3 linked regions of the Arabidopsis thaliana genome follow. The protein of the gene in region 3 interacts with the protein of the main gene of each other region in a biochemical or structural test. Each region holds a gene or a part of one and is shown on either strand. Other genes may lie near its edges.

Region 1 (7,217 bases), on a different chromosome or scaffold from region 3:
TGAGACATATTCTAATAACCCTCATTTATTATCAAAAGAAACTTTTCTTTCAGACACATATAAAAGGCCTTCGGTTTTTGTCCGGAACAAAGAGAGTTTTCAGTTTTCGGTTCGAAATTGGTTTAGCAATCTGTTCAATTTGGCAGAATTTTGAATCATGTTCAGTTAGTTCAGTTCCCCTAACCGAGCGGTTGACCTTTTTTCTAAAACCAAAAACATACCAAATCGATTCGGGTTTATGGGTTTATGGATATCCGGTTTGGTATGTTTTAAACTTCGAGTTTTATGTTTTTCATTTTCGGATTGTTGCTTGCGGTTTACTCTTCAATTACTCTTGTTTGAGAACTTCTATTTGTCATATTTGTATTGTTGTTTGCAGTTTGCTATTTAGGTTTGGAATTTGGATGTTAATGTTCATTTTTTCACTCTGTTTTTTCTTGTGATTTGTCACAAATCATTTGAAACTCGGGTATTTTTCGCTGTAATGGATAATTGTTAACCAATTTTTTCGGGTATTTACCGGTTCTCAAATTGATTACCCAAATCAACCCGAATCCGAATGTACCCGAACCGGATTGGAACCGAAAATTTCATTTTCCCTTATTGGATAGTAAATCTATTACCCATTTAACCCAACCCCGAACGGGTTACCCATATGTTCAGCCCTAGTTTCTACGAAAAAACCGAGAAGTAACTGGCTTGGTCCGGTTAACCAGTTGGTTAACCGAGCTCGCAGGTCTAATATTGTGTAGTATTCGTCAATTGCCGACATAAGGCCACAAGTGTATAGTGTAGTTACTCTGCATTATCCACACCTTTTGTTTGTGTCATCAATCAATTACTTTAAACACAAGCATATGAAATTACAGTTATAGTTGTATACCAATTATAACACCACAACAGTTATAGTATATTAGAAAGATTATTTATGTATCTTGTAGACAAACTTAAAACCAAAAAGAACATAAATTGGCCAAAATCATCAAAGTTCTCATTCGATAGTTGAAATAGGAAACAATATATAAAAGAAGTATAAAATCCTAAATCGCTCTAGAACCATGTGGAACTAGAGGATTCCAACACATGTTTATGACAAGTTATCACCCACAAAAGGGTAATATGAGTCCATACATTGATGGTCATTCATCTGATTCAATCATAAATTTTACACAATCAATTTGTCGGTAGTCTCCTTTTGGTCATATCCTATAGTAAGAGATGAGAACTAAACCGCCATTTTCATTTCTATCTTCTTGTGAGGATCATAGCCTGTGAGGTCAAAGTCAGAAGCCACAAAAGAATCGATTTGTTTCTTCTCCGGGTTTATCTTCATTACCTGCAGTAGTGAGCCCATGACGACAAACAAAAACACGGTAAGGATAGGTGAATATGCATTCCTCGATGATCATTGTCGGCGATATACTTACAGGAAAGGGTTTTGGAAGATTCAGAAGTTGCTCTTGCAGAGGCCTCACGTGAGTTTTGTATACATGAGCATCCCCAAGAACATGGATAAAATCACCAGGAACAAGATCACACACATGAGCCAGCATGCAAGTAAGAAGAGAGTAAGAAGCAATGTTAAACGGCACACCAAGGCCCATATCTGCTGAACGCTGATACATTTGACATGAGAGTTCCCCTTCTGCCACATAAAACTGCAAAAAAAAAAAAAAAGTAATCAAACTCATTGTAGGAGAAACAACAGAATTAGAAGATAAAGTGGCATTACTTGTGCAAACATATGGCATGGAGGAAGTGCCATCAGCTTAAGATCAGAAGGATTCCAAGCTGACATTATAATACGCCGATCATCAGGATTGTTCTTGATTTTGTCAATTACATCTACAAGTTGATCAAATCCTTGACCAGTATAATCAGCATGCATATCTGTGTACCTGTAAAACAAGAGAAAGATGTTTCACCAAAACAAATCCATCGGAACAGAGAAGAAAAAACCAACATATGCATTGAAAAGTTACTGACTTAGCACCAAAGTGTCGCCATTGAAATCCGTATACAGGTCCAAGGTCGCCTTCCTCTCTCTCTGTCAGGCCGATACTGAAAATACGGTGGATAAATCAGCAAATAGGTCGTCAAGATCAATATTTCTTTAACCAAAAAGATAATGCAGGTTACAAATATTACCCATCGAGATACTCTCTTGACGCATTCCCATCCCATATATGGATACCTTTTTCCTGAAGGACCTGCCCATGTATAAAGTCTATCATAGATATAACCAATTCATTTGCATAGTTTTAGAGCATAGCAGAGACACTCTGGCTTAATTTACTTTTGCATTGGTTGAACCGCTTATGAACCATAGAAGTTCCTCAACAACACCTCTCCAGAAAACTCGCTACCAAAAAAAAGCAAACAGATTGCGTGAGTTTGAATATGAGCTAGTGTAGATATGCAACTGCCACTAAATACAACAGAAGACAAAGCATTCTCCTTTTGCGAGTAAACGTGGAAAGTTAAGGAAAAAGTGAGCATACCTTTGTTGTCAGAAGTGGAAAACTTCTGCGTAAATTGAATTTCATCTGTGTTCCAAGGAAATGTGAGATCATTTAACCAACTAGAGATAAACAGAATACATAAAGAAACGGATTTATATCACCTGGCAACCAAATTTTGATAATGTACCAGTCCCGGTCCTATCATTCTTCACATTGCCATTAGAGATAATATCTTCAACCATATTCAAATACAGAAACTCCTCATGCTGATCAAAAACCATCTTAGGAAGAAACAAAAACTTCTTCCCATCAAATTGAAGAGACTGTGACCCATTGCTTTCATCAGAAGATTCATCAGCAGAACTCTTTACACGGACAAAAGTCGTGAAGCAAAACCGAAGTCCATTTTCAGTTACTGGAAACGATGAAGACCAAGGCTGATAAACAGAAGTATCAATCGCAGGTATAAACGTATCACAGTCAACACTTGTATCAATCTCAGTTAAATGGATAGCATCACAACTAGGCCTATTCAATGCTTCCCTACACAAATACAACCAACCAACACTTAGTTCCAACCAACAACAAGATTCCGAATCACCAAAAGGGATAATAAATGAAAATCAACAACCATTACCTCAATATGTCACCACCTCCTATAACAAAAACCCTCTCAATAGATAAACAATACGGCGGCGCAGCTAACAAATCAAGAGCAGAATCTACACTACTACAAGTGACAACATTCTCAGTGTTGGCTATATCAAACCCACCAGAACGAGTTAGAACAACGTTAAGCCGACCCGAAAGCGGCCTATACTTAATGGGAATAGACTCCCAAGTCTTTCTACCCATCACAACAGCATTTTTCTTAGAGGAATCTGAAGTGGTCAAAGTAATGTCTTTAAAGAACTTGAGATCTGTTGGCAAATTCCATGGCAATTTCCCATCTTTACCAATACCCATTTCTTTAGTTGCAGCAACAACAACTTGGTAAGTCCTTTGAGGCTCTGAAGCAAGTGTAGTGGTGACACTGTCATTGAGAGTAGTTGTTGCCATTGTGGAAATCAAAACCTTGGAGATACTTGCAATAGATGATGATGAATTGCGATGGCTAGTACAAAGCCAAAGCAGAGACTGTGAAAATCAAACACAAGAGTCAGATTCATATGAATTAAACTATCCAAAACAATCAAAGAATCGAAATTTGAAACAAATAGCAAAAGGGTATGGAGAAGAGATCAGTACTGACCGATTTAAAGGAGAAAGGAAGAATCTTTGAGGGGTTTGCAAATACCCAAAAGAGATTATCGAAAACCCAGAAGAAAAGTAGGTAAAGGTTACTTTTTTTTTTTTTTTAGTCACGGAGTTGAAAAGGACAGGAAGAGAAGATAAGCGGGGGAGAAAAGAGGGAAACGCCGATTCGTAAAACGCTTAAAGTAGACGGACGTGTCTCTATCAAACTAAAATAGAAGATCGAAAGTAAGGGTCGGGTTTTAAAGGTAAGACCACTATCCGGACACTATCCACTACTGCGAAGTGCGAACCATGGTTTTAGATAGACCAATAGTTATTTCAATCTTTTTTGTTTTGAACATAGATTTCTTTAATTATGTATGTTGAACTTACTAATTAATATGGACTTTCTCATATTTATATGTTACTATTCCCTCTTTTCAAAATAATAGTAGATTTTTGAATGATTTAAGTAAATGACAAGTTTTCGGAGAGAAATTACAGACTAGGCATGTGATTATGGGGTATTCCGCTTTTTCGGGATAGGTAAGTTTGGTTTCTCAAGTATTTCAGAAACTGAAATTTTTACAAAAAATAACCGATTAAATTATCGGTGTAGTTTTTGGTTAATTCGGTTATTAATTTTAAAATCGAAATATTTGGTTATTATATTAAAATTTAGTTAAATTGGGAAGTCTAGTTCAAATCTAAATTGACACGAACCGAAAAGGCACCGAACATAATATAAACCAAAATTCTAAAATACCTAAATAGATCTTCAATCTTTTGAACTAATTATCCAGAATCAAAAGAAACCGATCCAAACCGAACTGATGATAATTTGGTCATGTAAAACCATTGATCCTCAATCTTTTAAACTAATTATCCAGAATCAAAAGAAATCGATCCAAACCGAACTGATGATAATTTCGTCATGTAAAACCATTGTGTAATATGTTTTCTTATGATGATAATTTGGTCATGTAAAATATGTTTTCATCTGTAAAGTGATTAAGATGATAATTTGGTCATGTAAACTATGTTTTCATCTGTAAAGTGGTGGGCTGCACTTAGTCCAAATTGGCGTCATACTCTTTTCTATTAATTATAGCATTTATTGGTACAGATACGAATCGATTTTGATATATTTCAATATTATATCACACACATGTCCATTTCCATATATTAAGAACAAACCAATTGTAAAAAACAAAAAAAAGAACAAAACCACCTTTGGACCTTATCAATAGCTTGTTAAAATGACATTCAAGTACTTTTCTACATGTCTTAATTAGTTTCAGATGATCCTCACCATTACCATCTTTCACCCTTCCTTCCTCTCAAGAACTCATCTCCAATAAGGTAAGGAAAAAAAAACACTGGTTTTGCTTCTCTTTTCCTCAATCTTATTTCTTAAACAATCTTAATCATCTTTTAGGTGTTTCATCAAAAGTCTAAACCATGGCTGACACCAAACAAGGTTATAAGTCAATGCATTTACCTTAACTAGCCATTGATACAATTTTTCCTCTTGCCTAAAATGTTAATGTAAACCAATCATGTGTGGTTTAGATATGGAGAATTCAGAGGATGGAAGGAAGCTAGTGAAGATGAGCTCGCTTAAACAGAAAGCGATAAGCGCATCAAATAGATTCAAGAACTCTTTCAAGAAGAAGACTCGGAGGACCAGCAGCAAAATTGTGTCCGTAGCCAATACAGACGACATCAACGGGGACGATTATCTGTCCGTGGAAGCGTTCCGTCAAGTCCTCGTCCTTGACGACCTTTTGCCCCCCAAACACGATGATCTTCACATGATGCTCAGGTTTTTATATTTTTCTTTAAGATCCCTACTAGGTCAAATGATGTGTTGTGGTATGAAATAAAATATCATGAAGTCAACTAATGGAAAAATTATACCAATCCAAACGAATATTTTATTTGATGAGGAGCTGGTTTAATAGATGACCAAAAATTTGGTTGTCTTAACATTATAACATTTCATTAAATCTTCATATCTTAAAAAAAAAAATTGTTCATCTCTTACAAGCGAATCAATAAATGTTTTACACTTTCATATAAATCCATAATTCATGATGAGTTTACAGCTAAATGTTACTTGTTGTAGATGATTATTGCGATTGTAATATTATGATTTATTATGTTTAATCTCTACATAGATTCTTAAGGGCGAGAAAATTTGACAAAGAGAAAGCAAAGCAAATGTGGAGTGACATGCTTCAATGGAGGATGGATTTCGGAGTCGATACAATCATTGAGGTTAACTTTTTGTCCAAGAATCTTGGAACATCTTAGACTGATCATTTATATATACACAATCTTTGACGAGTGATTTGTTTGGTTTATAATTTTTTTAATAATGAAGGATTTCGAGTTTGAAGAGATCGATCAAGTACTCAAACATTATCCGCAAGGTTACCATGGAGTGGACAAAGAAGGCAGGCCGGTTTACATTGAGAGATTAGGTCAAATCGATGCAAACAAGCTGTTACAAGCGACTACAATGGACCGGTATGAGAAATACCATGTGAAAGAGTTCGAGAAGATGTTTAAGATCAAGTTCCCTTCTTGCTCTGCCGCAGCCAAGAAGCACATTGACCAAAGCACAACCATTTTTGATGTCCAAGGAGTGGTTTGTCACATTTTTCTACCTCAATTCTTCTTTCGAAAATGTATAAATATGAAAAAATGTTTAAAACGATGTGTCATTTTTCAATTACTAGGGGCTTAAGAACTTCAACAAATCCGCGAGAGAGCTGCTTCAGCGCCTTCTCAAGATCGATAATGACAATTACCCTGAGGTAGTTTAACCTCAAAAAGCTTATTACTCGTAGGTATAGTAACAAGTAACAACGTTGTAAATAAATTATTCTTCATAGACTTTGAACAGAATGTTCATCATCAATGCTGGTCCTGGATTCCGGCTCTTGTGGGCTCCAATTAAAAAGTTCCTCGATCCAAAAACGACATCAAAGATTCATGTTCTTGGGAACAAATACCAACCCAAATTGCTCGAAGCCATAGACGCTAGGTAAGATTCTAGTCCTTAACTCAATGATATATCTTGCTTTGTATTATAACTAATTTTATACAAAAATCATCGTAATCTCGTTTTTTGTTTTAGCGAGTTGCCATATTTCTTTGGCGGCCTTTGTACTTGTGCAGACAAAGGTGGCTGTTTGCGATCTGACAAAGGCCCATGGAATGATCCTGAGCTTCTTAAGGTCAACTTTGGAGCTTAAAGCACCTTTTTAATTTAAAAGTTTTTCTGAGCCACTTACCAAATATAAGTGTGTTCTATGGAAAGCAGATAGCTAGGAACCCTGAAGCCAGATTCTCGACAATTTCAGAGGAAGACTACTTGCTTGTAGAAGAAGGAACATCAATGTCGATGGTCTTTGAAGTAAGCTAAGATTATGTTTACACCATGATATCTAATCAAGTACCAACCGCATTCTTTTATATGCATTAAATTTGTAGCCTCTAGAGAGAAACAAG
Region 2 (7,522 bases), on a different chromosome or scaffold from region 3:
GTTAGCTTACGAGGTAGTGATCCTCTGCTCTGATGACCACCTATGTTCTTTTCCGTGATTTTGACGCTTTTCTCTTCTACTGGTTTGACCGTTCCAAATACTTTTTATTACACGTCAACAACATATTAAACAAAAAAAAGTAAAATGGATTCGGCTTTTTGTTATTTTTCTTTTGACTCTCCCCTTTAATTAGTTTCCTATGACTTCAAGTTTCCGTCTCCTACTAGATTAAGGTAATGTATGTGGAAAGGGTTTTTATAAAGTATGAATTTTGGACTCTGTATAAAAATGGAATTCCTGTGATTTTAAAATGAAATTAGAGTTATGTACATGCGCATTGATGGTGTATTTCCCTATTAGCCCTAAGAACGATCGTTCGTTAATTATACAATTAATCATTTATTGTTGAAGAGACAGAAACAACATCCAAGAGAGAGTCCAAAGGACGGATCCATTACAAAGACATGTGCAAGAGATTTTCTTAGTCTCGTACTCCTTTCGGTCGGTTTCTCCAACAAATGGGCCTTGGCAACAGGTAAAATAATACTATTGGGTCTGTTTTGTAAAATCTTACGTTTTCTGAAATGGAGGATGTTGATACCTTTACAATGGGCCTAAGGTCCCATAAATTGGGCTTTAAAGGGCCTCTTTTTGATACTTCCTTTTTTCATTTTATGTCTTGATGTTCGAAATCTTCTATGTAAACAAATTTTTTTTGGTTTTAATGTCAAGAGAATATGTGTGTGTGAACAATTTATAATGACCATGTTACATTTTCGTCTCGTATGTTTAAAATTCTTGTTTTTATTTGAAGTTTTCACATAATTATTTGAGGGAAATATTAAATGATCTTTTTGCAACTCTAATAAAACGTTAGTAAGTGGCATGCTAAATATATAAATGATAATACACCAAGAAAATTGAAAGTGAGCTAAATATATCATTCCTAACAAATAGTTGATAAATTCTCAAGTTGATATATTGTACTAGATATTAGTCATAAATAGAACCTAACTATGAACCAATAATAGGTCTACAAATGTGGGGCCAGAGACAAGAGAAGAAGTCACGACTTTGAATCTTGATGATCATGGATGAATGGATATCATGCATGAAAAAATTAAAATTTCTATGATATGGAAAAACGACAATAATGGACGAAATCTTTGTACGTCAAAATCGGAGACTTAGATCGTTAGATGCATGCAACTAATTAACAACTCCAATAACTTCAATTGAAAATGTGCGTATACTCACTCTCATGAACGGTCTTCTCGTATTGTTAATTCACTGTAATCCTTTTGCGTTTTGATACGCAACTTCGGAATGGGCAACGGTATAGCGAGGCTTACGTATGCTTTGGAAAAACATTAATTCATATATTAATGTTTTATATTCCGTGAGAAAATTTCAATGTTTTGGAAAATTAGAACAAATTAGAACAAATTCTCGAAAGATAAATTGAAGGCATTATGATATTTTCGTACGTTCTTTTTACGGAAAGTTCTTTAACGGCATCCAAAACGCTTTCGTACGTGGCCGAGTGCTCGCGGCGCAATAATCCTTGAGAATCATAAGGTATATTCCCTGGAATGTACCTTTTTTGTTTTTCTTATAAAAAAACTATCTGGTGCATTTTGTTTTTATGGAGTAATTTATCCAATTAAAGTCCAGTGTGGGACACTAAACATTACAAATTTTATGTCTTTAGCTTAGTTATCATCTGTTTTTTTTTAATTAGAAAAGAGTAGTTTTCTGGTGTGAGTGTTATGTGGAAGACAAATATGTGACGTGGATTCTAATAATGTATTGTCGTGATGTGGTTCTTTTTGCATTATTTCGTTTTGATTATGTAATAGACATATATTTAAATGGTGCGATTATGCACCGAAGAAAAACATTCGTCTCCATTTTTCTTTATACGAAATTTGACCCCAAAAAAAAGGTAAAACACGGCGTCCGTGTTATTATGTAGTATCATGTATGACAGAAATGGCAACTACAGTAGATAGTTTGGACCGAATTTTATTTTCACACAATTAAATAGTTATTTCAAGGCAGTAACAAATTGGTGGAAAAAAAAAAAAAAAAGGCAGTAACAAATATTAAAACCGAATATTGGCTAAAATTATACATTTCAAAACAATATTATGAAATTGTTTAACAAAACAAAATGTGAAAGGAACATAGAAGTAATTAATGTACTCAGATTACGATCCCATAGAACTTAAATAAAGGTGCGTTTATGAATGCCAGATGACTCAGATTAGTGATTGTTCTTCCCACTTAGCAGAGTAATTGCTCTTTGTCCTTTGGAATCTCTCTCTCTCTTTTTATTTCTCTGTGTTTCGCTTGGAATCTATATTTTCGCTATTTCCTGGAATGATGATATATATGTATGTTAGTATGTAGTAGTCAATATTTTTGTATATTGTGAATAAGTGACTTTTTCAAGGTAAATATAGGTCAGAAACTTCAAATTCAAAATATTAAATATTATAATATTGGTGAAAATATATAGTCAAAAAATGATTTTAGGTTCGGTTGATAATTTATTCAATGAGAGTGATTTACCCGAATAAGATGATTGTGTGTGAGCAAAAAGATTCCACAATGATGCCAATTTAAGCTTCAACAAGTGCTTTCCTATTAACAAGAACAATTTATGTAATATCATTTTTTTCGTTTGTTTTGCAAAACTGCAAAGTCATTTTATTTTGTTTACTTTAATAATCCTTGAAAATGTTATAACAGTTATTTCCTCAAATTAGACCATCATACTATTATTATTGTTATTATCAACCGTTGATAAAAATGGTAGTAGCATGTACAACTAAGATAGACCGTTACAAAATTCGTGTATTGTTAATTATTATATAGTTTCCGTATGTTGCTGTTTTCAGCTCAACTTGAGTAAATATAAAATATTAAACTGTTTATTCTAATATTGGATTCTTTTGTGTAGTGGCAACTTATTTTTTTCTAAGCTTTTTTTTTTTACAGATTACGGATTTCAGTATGAAATTGTAGATCCAATCAACTATTTTCACATATGCTAAAAGGTATCTAAAAAGTAAAAACACTTAACAGATTATAAACAAAAAAGCTTTTAAGATAAATGTCACAAATTCTTTAAAAATAAACAAATAAACAGCTATTGACAAACAAAAAATAAAAATAAAAAAGGAGTCCTTGCTGGGTCCATCTCCTTTGCGTTCTTTTTCGTCTGTTGAATTTTGAACAGAGTCACAAGTCTCTCTCCATATAAACCTCCCCAAGGTCGACGCTACGTAACGACCATCTCCATTACTCGACTCTCCTCACCTAAAGATTCAACCTTTTCTCTGTTTCCCAATTCAGAGATGAAGCTTGTGGAGAAGACGACTACTACAGAGCAGGACAATGGAGAAGATTTCTGCCGCACCATCATCGAGGTTTCCGAGGTTAACAGAAACGTGTTTCAGGCTCCGGGCGGTGAAGCTGATCCCTTTCGAGTTGTCTCCGGCGAAGAACTTCACCTAATTCCGCCGCTCAACTTCTCCATGGTCGATAACGGTATATTCCGGTCTGGATTCCCTGATTCAGCTAACTTCTCCTTTCTCCAGACTCTCGGTCTCCGCTCAATCATGTAAAAGCTCCTTCCACATTCATGACATTTTGTATACTATATATCAAACTTTCGAAATTGCTGATTTTAGGTTTTTTCGAATTTGTGAAGATACTTGTGCCCGGAGCCCTACCCAGAGAGCAATCTCCAGTTCCTTAAATCCAATGGAATCAGGCTTTTCCAGTTTGGTATTGAAGGCAACAAGGTAACCATCTTTCTTCTCCTCTCTCTTCATCAAGTCTCCGTTTTTAATTGCTCTGTAATTCTAAACCTTACTTGGATAGTTCACTAGGAGAATTCTCTGAATGGAAAAATCATATCTTGCTGCAGTGTGTTCCTGACTTAGACAACGAGATTTCCTTGCATTTATGGAATTCTAAGCATCAGAAACAGGGTCCCTTAACTAATGGACTTTCGAAAACTTTGGTACACACTACATATATTAACTGGAACACGATACTATTTCTGGAATATATCATAGTTCATTCAATTTGAAGGGTTTTATTTGCTTGATATTTATTGCCTAATTGTTCTTGAAAATCCTGTCTCATTGTTGTTTACTTTAGACTACTAAAACTGTTTCTGTGTTTTCTTTCTCTTGAATTTGATCCTTCATGGGCACTCTGTTCCAAGCCATATTTTATTATTATGAGTTTACCAGAAAAAGAACACATCTTTCTTTATTGTTTTGCCTCTTTGGCTCTTTCCGTCTCTCTTGACCTCCACTGATTTGGTCCCACTCTTTGTTTTTCTGCCCCTTCAGCAACTATTCCCCACTTGTTCTTTCTACTCTCTATTTATAAAATTAGATTATGGACTACGTCAAAATATTTGCTGAGCTACTTGTTGCTAGTGTTGTCAATGATCCCACTACTCAATAGCTTACTTTCTGTTGTTATTGTTTTCTTGGTTCATGTTTATTGAGTGTGCACTTTTTTATACAGATATGATATCTTATGAAATCATACATCAGCGAAAGTGTTTTTGATTGTGTACAAGTAAACCGTTTTTTATGGTAAAAACTTGTAGAAAGCGTGTTGATCGTGAAAGTGTCCATATTAGCTGTAAGGTTTGAAATCTAGATAAGGTTAGGAATTGCTGGGAAAATGATAGATGGTTACGTTGTAAGTCGGTTAATGTTGTTTAATACGTACCTTTAGTTCCTTTCCTTTTCTATGTGTTAGTGGCTCATGTTTGGGCAAATCGTTGGTAAAGTGATAGAATAACCAAAAACTTCACCATAGAGTCTTGAACTTATTACCCTCATGAGTTACCATTCGCCTTTCCTGAAGAGATGGGTATGAATCTAATTTGAGTTGATATGTTTGAAAGAAAATATGTTTGTTCTGGTATGCAGTAGCTATCATTCTCTCCCCCCACAGAATCCACCTTTTCCCTGTCGATTCTACTCCTAGGATAGTCGATTCTTTATGTGGGGAGTCGTTTAGATACTTACTACCATAGTTCCCTAGTTTTGCTTTTACACTAAAGATGAAAATAAAGTGGCTTTCTCTTCTTGGTGTAGTGATTTTATTGGAAGAATCTGGATCTCATTGACTTTTGTTTTTGTTTCTGGACTCAGATTCTTTATAATTAGTGTGACAACTTCGATCTTGATAGGAAACCTTTATCGCTGATATTCTTGGCTTGCTATGCTTTTTTCTTCTCATAGATTCGTCTTTCAATGGGACTTTGTGTTTATTCCGTGTTGTTGTTGTTGTGTGTGGAGATAACTTTTTGATATAAAAAAGTAAAGAATCTTTCTCTCAGTACGCAACCAGTAAAAGGTATCACATTAGACATGCTTCATAACTTGTAGACTTTGTCCTGTTAATGAACCTTTGCATGGTTGTCTCTCTCGACGTTGCTTGTGCATGAACCTTGATTATTAGATTGCTTTATCTTTTCCTAATCTGCTCAATTTAGTAGTGTGATTGATCTTTTGACATATAATCTTACAATTTTAAAAAGACATTTTTTCTTCTTATTTTCAGGAGCCATTTGTGAATATTCCAGACCATAAAATCCGCATGGCACTGAAAGTGCTTCTAGGTAACTATGAATCATATAGAAGCGCTGAAATAAAAGAACACATGTAACCACACTTTTTGTATGCTTTCTAATTCTAACTTGGTTTATTAACAACTCTCCTTTTAAAATCCTCAGATGAGAAAAACCATCCTGTTCTGATTCATTGTAAGCGAGGCAAGGTAAATCATTCACTCCAATCCTAAACATTTCATCTTTTGTCTCCACCACTGAAGAAGAAAATGAGTTTCTAAGTATGAATCTGGAATTTGCAGCATCGGACCGGTTGTCTTGTTGGTTGCTTGAGGAAGCTCCAGAAATGGTGTTTGACATCGATATTCGACGAGTACCAACGATTTGCAGCAGCGAAAGCTAGAGTTTCAGATCAAAGATTCATGGAGATATTCGATGTTTCCAGCTTCAGTCATATTCCAATGTCATTCTCTTGTTCCATCAGGTAAACAGGGGAAGCTAAAATCTTCAGATAAAAAGGAGAGATTAATCATATTAGAGTTCCAGAGGAAACATTCTTCTCTTTCTTTACCTTTCTCTGGAATCAATAATACTATTTCGAGAAAAGAAAAGGTTTTCGTTGTTATAATGACTTCACTCTGTTTTTTTACTGCTCAGTGTAAGCATAAAGGTAGATAATTACGTATATATATAAAGTAAACTATACAGGAGTTTGTTTAGGAATATATGTATTTTCTTGGGTTATCCCGAATGTTGCTTAACGATTATTAGCTCATATATTTCAATTCTTCAGAACATGATTTGTTATTATCGTGTGTAGAGGAAAATGCTACTACCATCAGTGTGTAAATAATTTGTTCAATGTAATGCTAAACCGAAATATATGGACTAATTTGATTTACTGACCAATCATTAACATAACTCTATAACTTCTTTTTTGAATCAGTTACGGAATTAATCATTATTTTTATTAGTTGAAAAAGACATGCTAGATGTGTGAAGAGTTTGTTAAGTCACGAATATGAAACCTAACTAAGGCCAGTACCAATTTTTAGCTATAAGTGAGTGATAGTTGTCCTTATAGGTCACGAATACGAAACACTCTACTGGAGTGTTGTTAATCATTTACTTTAATAAAAAGCATGACACCGATTCTTCAACAACATGCAAAGCGCATTCTTGCTTGCGGCTACAAGAGTTCTTTGTTCCGTTCCTATGCAACCTTATGGTCACCCGAGGCTAGCCAAACTCTGCTTATTCGGGTCAAAGCGTCTTTGCAGCAACATGAGAAACAATTGTACACCAGAGGGCTCATAAGAATCTTCGAGATTCGGATCGATTTTCTCAAAAACGCGAGTTTTTTTTATTTCTTCTAAATCCTGATCTTCAACCTATGTACCAATTTGTGGTTTCTTACATATTATGTGCTCTTGGTTGTGGTATTATTAGGCATCAAGATATATGGGTAAAGAAAAGGTGTGTACTCTGTTTCAGAAAGATTATGCAGCTCGGCTTTATCTGATTGAGACACTGTTGGGTTTAGAAGAAGCAGACAAGTTCTTCAAAAGTATCCCTTCAAACATGATTGATTACTCCACGCTCTTAACCTCTTACGCGAGATCTGACGATGTGAAACCCGACAATGTCACTGCAAACACTGTTTTGAAGGCCGATGTAAAGGCGATAAAGATGTTTATGAGAATGTGGGTTGATGAAGAAGGAATCAAACTGGAGAGAGACAGGATAGTTGAAATGGCAAAGGTTTACGTTAGAGTTTGTTTAGAGATATATGGTAACGTGGTATGGAATGCAAGAGAGTTGCTGCAAACTCTTTGGGATGACTTTAAGAAGTGCGAAGAGGTGTATCGAACAGCGGTTATCTCTTTGTCGAAACTGGATGATGTTGAAGGTGCA
Region 3 (9,484 bases):
ATAATCCTTTGAATAATCATCATTCACTTTCTTAACTTCTTTGGTTATTATTTACCTTTATACATTTTGTTCATACTTACTATGCATCAATATCAACAAGGTTGATTTTTCCATCGAATTCCACCACACCAAAAGGAACCAAGAAACCATACCAAAACTTCTTTGGTTATTTATCTGAAACTAATTCAAAAAGATCTGATCAGTAAACCTTTGTTCTATTGAATCTCACATTAAGAGAAACCCTTTTAACTTGAGAAGGCATACAGATATAGAGCATCACAAAATCCCCGAAACAAAACCGAACCAGTCATAACCAAGAAGGGGGAAAGCTACTAGATGAAGCTAGTAGGTGGAAGTTTGAGTCATTTGGCCTATTACTACGCACTAGTTATGATCTTTTCTCTGATACATTGAATACTTTATTAAAAACCATTACATAACCAATGTAAAAGCAAATATTTAAACGTTAAACAGTCCAATTCAGCTTTGAAAAATCCTCCCAGAAGAAGAAGACTAGTCAATATTGGTTGCGATGGCCTTGTAGAGGCATTATTATCTGTTAGATAATATTAAACATTAATGAGAAAGTAGAAATGCTTCTGTATAAATACCTTCATTACTTGTGTCTTATTTCATCACCTTCACCTTCAACATCAAACATCACATTTCTTCCTCTTTTCTCTCTTTTTTCTCAGTCTTCAAAGAGTTTCTTAGTAACCCAAATCAATGGCAGGTATCAAAGTTTTCGGACACCCAGCTTCCATTGCCACCAGGAGAGTCCTCATCGCCCTCCACGAGAAAAACCTCGACTTTGAGCTCGTTCATGTCGAACTCAAAGACGGTGAGCACAAGAAGGAGCCTTTCCTCTCCCGCAACGTAAGTATATCTATATATCTATGTGTTGTTGTAAGACAAGAGACCAACTGTTTTCATGTATCTGGCCTGCATCTCAAATGTTTTGTGTTTGAACTTCTTTCCTCTTCAGCCTTTTGGTCAGGTTCCAGCCTTTGAAGATGGAGACCTCAAGCTCTTCGGTATGAACCTTTTCCATGCATCATCTTCAATCTCAACTCTGAGTTGACAAAAGCCATTAGAGAGCAAAATCACTAATAAGAATTGGATTTTTTTATTTTTATTTTGTGTAGAATCAAGAGCGATTACTCAGTACATAGCTCACCGATATGAAAACCAAGGAACCAACCTTCTCCAAACCGACTCCAAGAACATATCTCAGTACGCAATCATGGCCATTGGAATGCAAGTAGAAGATCACCAGTTCGACCCAGTGGCTTCAAAGCTTGCTTTTGAACAAATATTCAAGTCCATCTACGGCTTGACCACAGACGAAGCCGTTGTTGCAGAAGAGGAGGCTAAGTTAGCCAAGGTCCTTGATGTCTACGAGGCTAGGCTCAAGGAGTTCAAGTATTTGGCTGGTGAAACTTTCACTTTGACTGATCTTCACCACATTCCCGCGATTCAATACCTGCTCGGAACTCCCACCAAGAAGCTCTTCACCGAGCGTCCACGTGTCAATGAGTGGGTGGCTGAAATCACCAAGAGGCCAGCTTCCGAGAAGGTTCAGTGAGAAATTTCTAAAAGGAAAATATGGTTTTGCTTCAGTCACAGTAATAATGCTAAGATTAAATAAGCGGCTTTCTCATTGCCCAATTTCTCAGTACTTTCTTTCTGTTGTATCCTCTGTTTTCTTTCAGTTATGTGAGTGTGTGTGTATGCTCTTGAGAGTATCTTTGGCAAAAACTATTTATCTAATCTTCAAGCTATTCTAAAATAAATCAATTAGTTAACTAATGCAAAGATTGCGATGTCTTAACTATGGAGATACTGACTAGTGAGAATAGTATGTAAGGACTTTAGTCTGGTGGAAATCTTACTTTGGAACGTTTCTCCTGGCGAAAGAAGTTGACTTAAGAAGACTTTGAACGTTCTTATCCTTAAAGTTTCCTTGCTTTGTCATGTCTGAAAATGACAAGTAAAATATAGACGTAAGCTTCAAATCAGACAAAACAAAACACATCAGATTTCTGGACCTATTCACCTCTCTATAAATAACAGAAACGGTTAGAGCAGCAAGTTTGTGTTTTTCACCATCAATTTTGTACCTTGACCGCCGTAAACGCAGGGTGAAGAAAGTCCACCTAGTGTTTATCTCCAACTGTTTGCTCGTCTCATTACTCTGATGACTTTGTGGCTACCCAAAGAATTGCGAGTAAAGCCAGCCATATATTTGCAGACTCTGGTCATCCTTTAAGTTAGAGGCTTTGCTACATCAAATATTCACATAAACCATAAAGATTAAGTCCACCAAGAAATATCCTTTATTCGGAGTTTTGTCTGCTAGTATCATCAAGTTTACTTCACCACGATACTCCAATAGTTTCCAGATATTATATAAGAATGAAAATCTATTACAAAGCATTTTTATAAAAAACATACCATTGCCTTCAAGGGACCAAGGAAGAACAGTAAGATCCTGGTGAAGAACACAATGAGATGAGGGTTCTAGTACAAAATCTTATCAACAGTTACAGGCTACGCACCTGCTTTAAAGATTCTTCACCGAGTGATTTGTATCTTCTGCAGAAATTTAGTAACAAATTAGCAAACTCAAACCAAGCAACATCATTAGCATGAGACGTAGACCAAAAGAAGACTGAACTAGATTCCATTATCTGAAGAACAGCAAGAGAAGCTGAGAAGGGCTAATGAAAGTGAAGAATTACTGATACATGATAAATTAAATCCGATGGGAACCTCTCAACAGAACCAAAATACAACTTTGATAAACTTCAACAAAGTTTTTATTAAAGTGGGGGAAAAACATGAACTAAAAACCAGTAATAAAAGAAAAGATCATTCTGCAGCATTCATCAGCATATTTAGTACATGCTGTACTTGTCGTTCGTCGCTTCGGGTCGAATGCTCTTGTAGATGGACATGGCAATTGGAAGAATGGCTGTGAGAGCGATTTGCAACTGATCCGAGCTGCTGGTTCTGACTGTGATCTGTCCGCTCATCTTGTTGTTAAGTCCTGCACGAAGCGCAATCTTTGAGTTCCTTCCAACAGAGACTTGAGATTGGAGATTGGCTCCAAGGGCTAAATCGCCTCTCCACTTTACCAGAGACAGCCCAAAAGAAGATTGGTCCTGTCCAATTGGGAAATCAGCTTCCCTAAGCCTGACCTCGAGGTTCGCACCATAGGCCGAATCTCCCTGTGATCGCATTGTCCCAGTGCTGCCCACAAGCACCAACCTTTTCCCCAGTGCTATTTGGTCCTCGAGTTTGACCCCAGTGGCGATGTTCTCTCCCAAGAATGTCACTGACCCTCCAACAGTTGTCTTGTTCTTCCTCAAATTCTTGAATTTGGTTTCTCCTCTGACCACATATGCCAGCTGCTTGCCTACATTCTGAATATCGAACCCTGCCATGGTGGATCCATTCTCCCCGTGCTTAGCAGACACAGAGGAGTCCAGATGAATGTTGAACTCTTTCTTGTCCTTGGTGACTTGGACAGTAGCTGTGGCAGGGAACCGGCTAGCTAGAGCAAGACTGTGTTCTGCATTGACGCCGTCATATCCACAGTCATGGTCCCAACCATGGGTATCCAACACTGGCCTGGTTAGGAGTTGTGAAGTGGGTTCCAGATATCGGTATCGGTAAGCTGAGTTATCACTATCAAATGAAGGTGGCAAAACCATATCGGGTAATGGAACTGGCACTGCAGCTGGAGCCCCGTTTTCTGGATCATCTTCTTCTCCCGGATAACCAAACTCACTTTCACCCAGCTTCTTCCCGTTTTTCTTCATTTCTTTCATCCTCTTTAATTCCTCTCTCCATTGCTTCTTCTGCAGGAGCTTTACACGGTAATCATACTCCTCGAAATATGCCTTTCTCTGTTCATTTGAGAGCTTTGCAAGTTGGGTTTTTCGAAGAGGCTTAAATGGTGGCAGCTGGTCATACTCATCATCTTCCCCATCTTCCTGCTCAGAATCAGACACATCATCAATTTCGATATCAGAGTCAACACTATCACCACCTTGGTCTCCAGGGAGCTTAGGATGTGCACGGGACTGCAACAGCCAAGACAACAAGTAAGGGAGAGGCGGGGATCTAACTCGGAAACCAAATACTTTACGATGGTCCAATGGTTCTTGAGGCCTCAATAGAGAATTTGTTTCTGACAAAACCTTCAGGGAGTAACACAATAGCAACAGCTGAGATCTCCAAGTTTGGCCATTCGGGAGAACCTTCACTCCCTCCCGGTTCTTCCTACACAAGGGGTGATTCTCAACAAGTGAAACTGGATTCATCAGACTTGGATTCATCAAGCGTAGATCTCCAACAGCCTGTCCTATAGACTGTTGCACAATATGTGAGCACTGCGCTACAAACACATCATAGCTCAATGGGGTGCCAGATGGGCCATCAGGAGGGGCAGAAGCCGCATGGGTCAATGTCACTATAGCGTTTTTCCATATGGATGTACCAAGAGAAGCAGTAATCGTCCTTAGCAAGGGCAAATTGTTCAAGTCCCTGGTCTGGGTGTCAAGACGATCTACATATAGTACAATATCAGGGGGACACTTCTTCATTACCTTCTTTACAGAGGACAACATTTTTGCATTTGTACTTTGATCCATCGCAGCAGACTTCAAACCCGGAGTATCAATAAAGGTAATCTTGACACCATTCACCGTTCCAGAAATTTCTCTAACCGAAGTGGTTGAGAGCCCAAAAGCATCAATGGACGCAATCTGGTTTCCCAAAATGGAATTTATAGTAGCACTTTTTCCCACCCCGGCTTTTCCAAGGACCAGTATGTTTAGGGAGAAGATCAATTCTTCGTTGCCCTCAGCCTCAGACTCCACAGCCTTCTTCTTTGCAGCATCAAGACTGAATAACTGCCCTGCTTGTCTCCCAGCAAGTAGTGCAAGACGGTAAAGAACCTGCGCTGCAATTGAATCTTCTGCCGAATGACCCAACCTTTGCAAAAGCCGCAAAAACTTCACACGGAGGCTTTGCAACTTTTCTAATTTCTGTTTCTCTTCCTCGCTCAAGTTAATCTCAGTCTCATCTGCCATTGTGACATTAGAATTGGAAAAGATGTTGGAACGGTTTGCACGTGGAGCTGCTGCAGGCTTCAAGGGCCTTAACGATGAACTCAAACCAGCAGGTCGATCCATAGAGAAAAGCTTCGTGCCATCCTGAGATGTTATGGTAAAATTGCCACCTTCTGAACTTCCACCACCAGTGGCTGCCTTCAAAAGCGCAGCCAAAGCTGCAGTATCAAACATTTTCTCCTCACCTTCATCCTCTGTGTCTACATCCTCGTCAGAATCGGTGACAATCTGGCCATCAATCCTATCTGACATATTGTTAGAAATGTTTGCTTCATCAGAATGTGCCTCTATACCAGAAGAAGCCTTTTCCAACTCTGCTAAGAACTGTTTTGCAGCTTCAGAACTCCCAAATATCATCTCTTCAGTTTCTTCTTCACTTTCAGACCCATCAACCCTGGTAACACCTTCGCCAGAAGGTTCCTGGTCCACTTCCTTGCCTCCAAAGCTAAACTCACGAGAAGAAACAATGTCTTCGACTGGGAGCTTGTTTTCATCCTCTTCAGCACTGTCCCCTTCGACAACTTTCCGAACCTCAAACTGTGACTCAGCTGCAGGAATTGAATCCTCTTCTGCATCAACTGAACCCACTTTTAAACTTTCAGAAACAGGCAATTCTTCTACTTCCACACCTACTTTTGGTTCGTCTGGCTCTACTTTGGCAGCCTCTGATATTTCCTTAACAGCCAATTCAAAATTTCCATCATATGCAGCAGTCAGGTCATCAGGTTCCTCAATATTTGAGATGGTCTTGTCAACCTCATCATCTTTATCATCTTCCTTAATTACAGCCTCCTTAGCCGCCCCGACAACCACAACCCCTGGCTCTGCAACATTGATATCAGCATCAACAGAGTCCACCACAGAGGAGTCAACCATAGAGTCTCCTTCACTAACCAACTTTCCTCCTCCCTCCTCTGTGGCTTTATCGGATTCAAGTTCAACTTCACCACCTTCACCTTGGCCAATTGGATCAAACTTATTATGCACATCAGGGATGTTGCCATCAGTTTCCAGCACCTCACTCACCTCTACGTCTCCAACAACAACAACCCCTGGCTTTGCCACATCTACATTCACAGCTTCAATAGCAGATGAGTCCACCACAAAGTCTCCTTTGTTGTTTAACTTAACACCTTCTTCTGCATCATCGACTATGCCACCGAGCACACTCTCCTCCTCTTTGGTTCCATTGTCAGCTACTGCACTAGCTGCCTTGATTACTTCAGCATAAGTCATACCCTTCTCCAATCCGTTGGCTTTTTCCACATCCTTTGGTTCACTCCCACTCTCGGCAGCTACAACCTCTGGCTCTACAGCACTGGTATCCACAGATTCTAACTTAGAGGAGTCTGCAATAGAGTCTGATTCGCTAGTAAATTTTTCTTCTACCTCCTCAATGGCCTTGTCAGACACAGGTTCAAATTCACCACTATCATCATCCCCAATTTGATCAAACTTATTAGCCACTTCAAGAGTTTCAGCATCAGCATTAATCTTCAACTCCTCACTTCCCTCTGCGTCTCCTACAACAACCACCCCTGGTTTTGCCACATCAACATGCACTGATTCTACAGGGGACGAGTTCACAATGACGTCTCCTTTATCAGTTAACTCCACACCCTCTTCTTCAATAACATTATCACTTTTATCGTCAACATCAACTTTTCCACCCAACTCACTCTCCCCCTCATCATCTTTTTTTGTTCCAACATCTTCTTCTTCCACATCCTTCACTTTACTCTCACTCTCCCCATCTGTGGAAGCCTGTTTCACATCAACATCAACACTCCCATTTTCAATCTTACTCTCACCATCGTCTTTAATATCCTCCACGTCCTCCTTAACCTTCTTATTCTCCTCCACAACCCCTACACCATCAGAAACAGCCTCCGGCTTCGGAGATAACGATGAAACATCATCTACACCAATTGTCTCACCAGAAACCACCTCAGGCTTCGGAGTAGCCTCAGGAGTAGTAGAATCCTCCTTTAAAGAACCATCCACCTCGTCGGAAACCTTCCCATCACCCACCAAATTCGGCTTCTCCTTCTCGGAGTCAGATAAATCATCAGCTCCAACCTTATCCGAATTACCAGACACAGCCTCCGATGAGGAATCCAACTCCTTGGCACTACTCACAGCACCACCATCCTCCTTATCGGCGGCTGCAGCAGCAGCGGCGGCGACAACAGAAGCATAGGTTTTTCCTGATAACAAAATATCCTTCCGATTAAAACCCTATTCCCAAAAACGCAGATTAAAGAAGATATAAACGAGAAAGAAGAAAAACCTGATTGCCCCGAAGAAGCGTAGAAGGGGTTGGTTGGTTCTGGAGTAACCGACTTTGAGTCCATTTCCGCTTTGCTACTGAGACTCTTTCTCCGCCAAACTTGTGGAGGAAGGAGATAGCGATAGATAGATAGGGTTTAAAGGAATTTACCCTTTTTTGTGTGAAGGTTTTTATGATTGAGAATTTGGCTGCTCTCTCTCTTTTGAAGAAGAGAGAATTGGGAGAGATAAGGTCACTCGGCGAACAAAAAATGACTCTTCGTTTTTCTTCTTTGCCTTGGGATTTTATCTTCTCAGTTTGTGTTTTGAGGATGATGATGAAATTACCGAATTACCCTCGCTTCTATGTTGGTGAAGTTTCCAAGAGGGCTCTCTTTTGTGCTACGCTTTAAACTGTGTCGCTTCATTGGCTCAAGCCAAAATATATAGAGTTTCTTTTTTTATTTGAGGAAGAAGTACAATAATCATTTGTGGTTAAAATTTGAAAAACATTGTATCATTTTAAAAAACAGTAATTTTTTTGTCAAGAATTTTCAATTTTTGTTGAGTAAATTTAGAATATTTTAGTCACTTTTTGGAAAGTATTTACTGTTTAATATTTTGTTTTTATTATGCACAATTCTCCAAATGTTAAAATCTTCCCCAATGGAAAATGTTTTGATGGGCTCACTAAATCTAGGGTTTTTGAACTCATGAGAATTAGGGTTTTGTTATATCTTCTCTTTACTAAAAACCAAAAAAACCACACAACAACAAAATAAAATAAAACATTTAAAATAAAAAACGAGATAACATTTTGAGATTTGGGTTTTATAAAGAAGAAAGAAATCTTTTTTGTATCTTTGTTGATCCTCCCTACCCGAAATTGCTTGGCCACAAACGATTTTCTCACCATTATCTACGAATTATCTTGGATTTTTGTATAACACGGATTCCATATATTAGGCCGTGATTTTAGTTTTCAGATGGGCTTTTATAAGGCCTCCCCCTAATAATAGCCCGTATACATGATTTTATTATCAATTAAAGACATTCAGATTTCAGATACAACAACCCATACTGCAAAAGAATCTGACCACATGCCAAATTTTGTTTTTCGAATTAAACTCCTAAACTACACAAAACTTGTGAATATGATCTCAGAACTATACTAACTCAATGTGATTTTTTCACATTTTGCATACTAAAAGTAAATAATTAGTTGAATGTGAAATCAGGTTAAAAAAAAGTTCTTGAATTAACACAGATTATTGATCCATGAAGCTACAAAATCTCAAGTTCTAATGGATTACAAAGAACAAAAAGGAAGAAAAACAACATTTTGATTTCGTAATAGAACTCTAGACGTAGAGACAAAGTAAAACCAAAGAATTAACTGATGTCTCTGCACAATACTTTATCATCCATCTTAGTACAACAACAAGCAAAGACACAAGACATAAATATAGCGAGAAACATAACACAAATCCTAAACGCAAAACCGATTCAAACTTGATTGGTTTGTACCTTAACCGCCTTAAACGCCGGATGAAGCAACCCGAGCTCGTCTTTCATCTCCAACGGATTGCTAGTCTCGTTCCGCACTCTCTTGACTTTACGACTAGCCAAAGATTTGTGAGTGAAACCATAGATTTGCAGAATCTGGTTATCTCCAAAGTTAAAGGCTCTGTCCATTTGTTTTAGACACCGTTCCACCGGGTAATCACCAAATTTCCCACACGGTTTGCAACCGACAAAGTGAGTCACCAATGGCCATCTGTGATCTCCTAGACCCGGGTGGTAGTTTTCTATCATTTCTTCATATCTGTCCACAAGAATCCCCCAGTAACCGTGAAGATAGTATCCACTTTCTAGGTACACCTATAACAACAATGCAGTGGCTCAAATGAGTAGCTCAACAAAATCCAAACCAAGCAAAGATTTGAGTTTACTTCAATAATAGACCCTTACACAGATGTCAGAAACCACAAGATGCAACTCACATTGTCATTTTTGATGATCAAGAGACATGATAAACCACAAAAAGCAACTCACATTGTTATTTTTGATGTTCAAGA

Evidence for each region.
Region 1: the proteins of TOC159 (region 3) and THY-1 interact in a test that uses a peptide from one of them, tested with the Arabidopsis thaliana proteins (one study listed by BioGRID).
Region 2: the proteins of TOC159 (region 3) and PFA-DSP1 form a complex in vitro, tested with the Arabidopsis thaliana proteins (one study listed by BioGRID).

Annotation. Positions count from the first base shown.
Region 1 is NC_003071.7:7,080,813-7,088,029, forward strand, and holds THY-1 (thymidylate synthase 1), read right to left. Parts: upstream 4,054-7,217; 5' UTR 3,715-4,053; intron 3,684-3,714; exon of another isoform or gene 3,600-3,683; 5' UTR 3,522-3,599; coding exon 3,100-3,521; intron 3,006-3,099; coding exon 2,624-3,005; intron 2,547-2,623; coding exon 2,502-2,546; intron 2,363-2,501; coding exon 2,297-2,362; intron 2,211-2,296; coding exon 2,149-2,210; intron 2,062-2,148; coding exon 1,987-2,061; intron 1,899-1,986; coding exon 1,733-1,898; coding exon of another isoform or gene 1,688-1,732; exon of another isoform or gene 1,659-1,687; coding exon 1,428-1,658; intron 1,337-1,427; coding exon 1,226-1,336; 3' UTR 951-1,225; downstream 1-950. Other genes in the region: AT2G16380 (Sec14p-like phosphatidylinositol transfer family protein), read left to right, coding at 5,160-5,178, 5,271-5,523, 5,879-5,978, 6,085-6,351, 6,443-6,520, 6,599-6,750, 6,844-6,943, 7,030-7,122 and 1 more. UniProt on the Arabidopsis thaliana protein: Bifunctional enzyme. Involved in de novo dTMP biosynthesis. Key enzyme in folate metabolism.
Region 2 is NC_003070.9:1,422,298-1,429,819, forward strand, and holds PFA-DSP1 (Phosphotyrosine protein phosphatases superfamily protein), read left to right. Parts: upstream 1-3,241; 5' UTR 3,242-3,362; coding exon 3,363-3,628; intron 3,629-3,718; coding exon 3,719-3,812; intron 3,813-3,937; coding exon 3,938-4,033; coding exon of another isoform or gene 4,034-4,102; exon of another isoform or gene 4,103-5,601; coding exon 5,602-5,659; intron 5,660-5,773; coding exon 5,774-5,817; intron 5,818-5,910; coding exon 5,911-6,096; 3' UTR 6,097-6,572; downstream 6,573-7,522. Other genes in the region: AT1G05005 (PPR containing protein), read left to right, coding at 6,751-6,964, 7,116-7,522. UniProt on the Arabidopsis thaliana protein: Cleaves the beta-phosphate at the 5-position of soluble inositol pyrophosphates.
Region 3 is NC_003075.7:1,102,774-1,112,257, reverse strand, and holds TOC159 (translocon at the outer envelope membrane of chloroplasts 159), read right to left. Parts: upstream 7,693-9,484; 5' UTR 7,493-7,692; coding exon 7,429-7,492; intron 7,346-7,428; coding exon 2,898-7,345; 3' UTR 2,559-2,897; exon of another isoform or gene 2,492-2,558; 3' UTR 2,455-2,491; exon of another isoform or gene 2,283-2,454; 3' UTR 2,121-2,282; intron 1,978-2,120; 3' UTR 1,893-1,977; exon of another isoform or gene 1,593-1,892; 3' UTR 1,586-1,592; coding exon of another isoform or gene 1,146-1,585; intron 1,073-1,145; 3' UTR 1,035-1,072; coding exon of another isoform or gene 986-1,034; 3' UTR 877-985; coding exon of another isoform or gene 727-876; 3' UTR 474-726; downstream 1-473. Other genes in the region: GSTF2 (glutathione S-transferase PHI 2), read left to right, coding at 727-876, 986-1,034, 1,146-1,585; XT2 (UDP-xylosyltransferase 2), read right to left, coding at 8,913-9,287. UniProt on the Arabidopsis thaliana protein: GTPase involved in protein precursor import into chloroplasts. Seems to recognize chloroplast-destined precursor proteins and regulate their presentation to the translocation channel through GTP hydrolysis. Required for chloroplast biogenesis.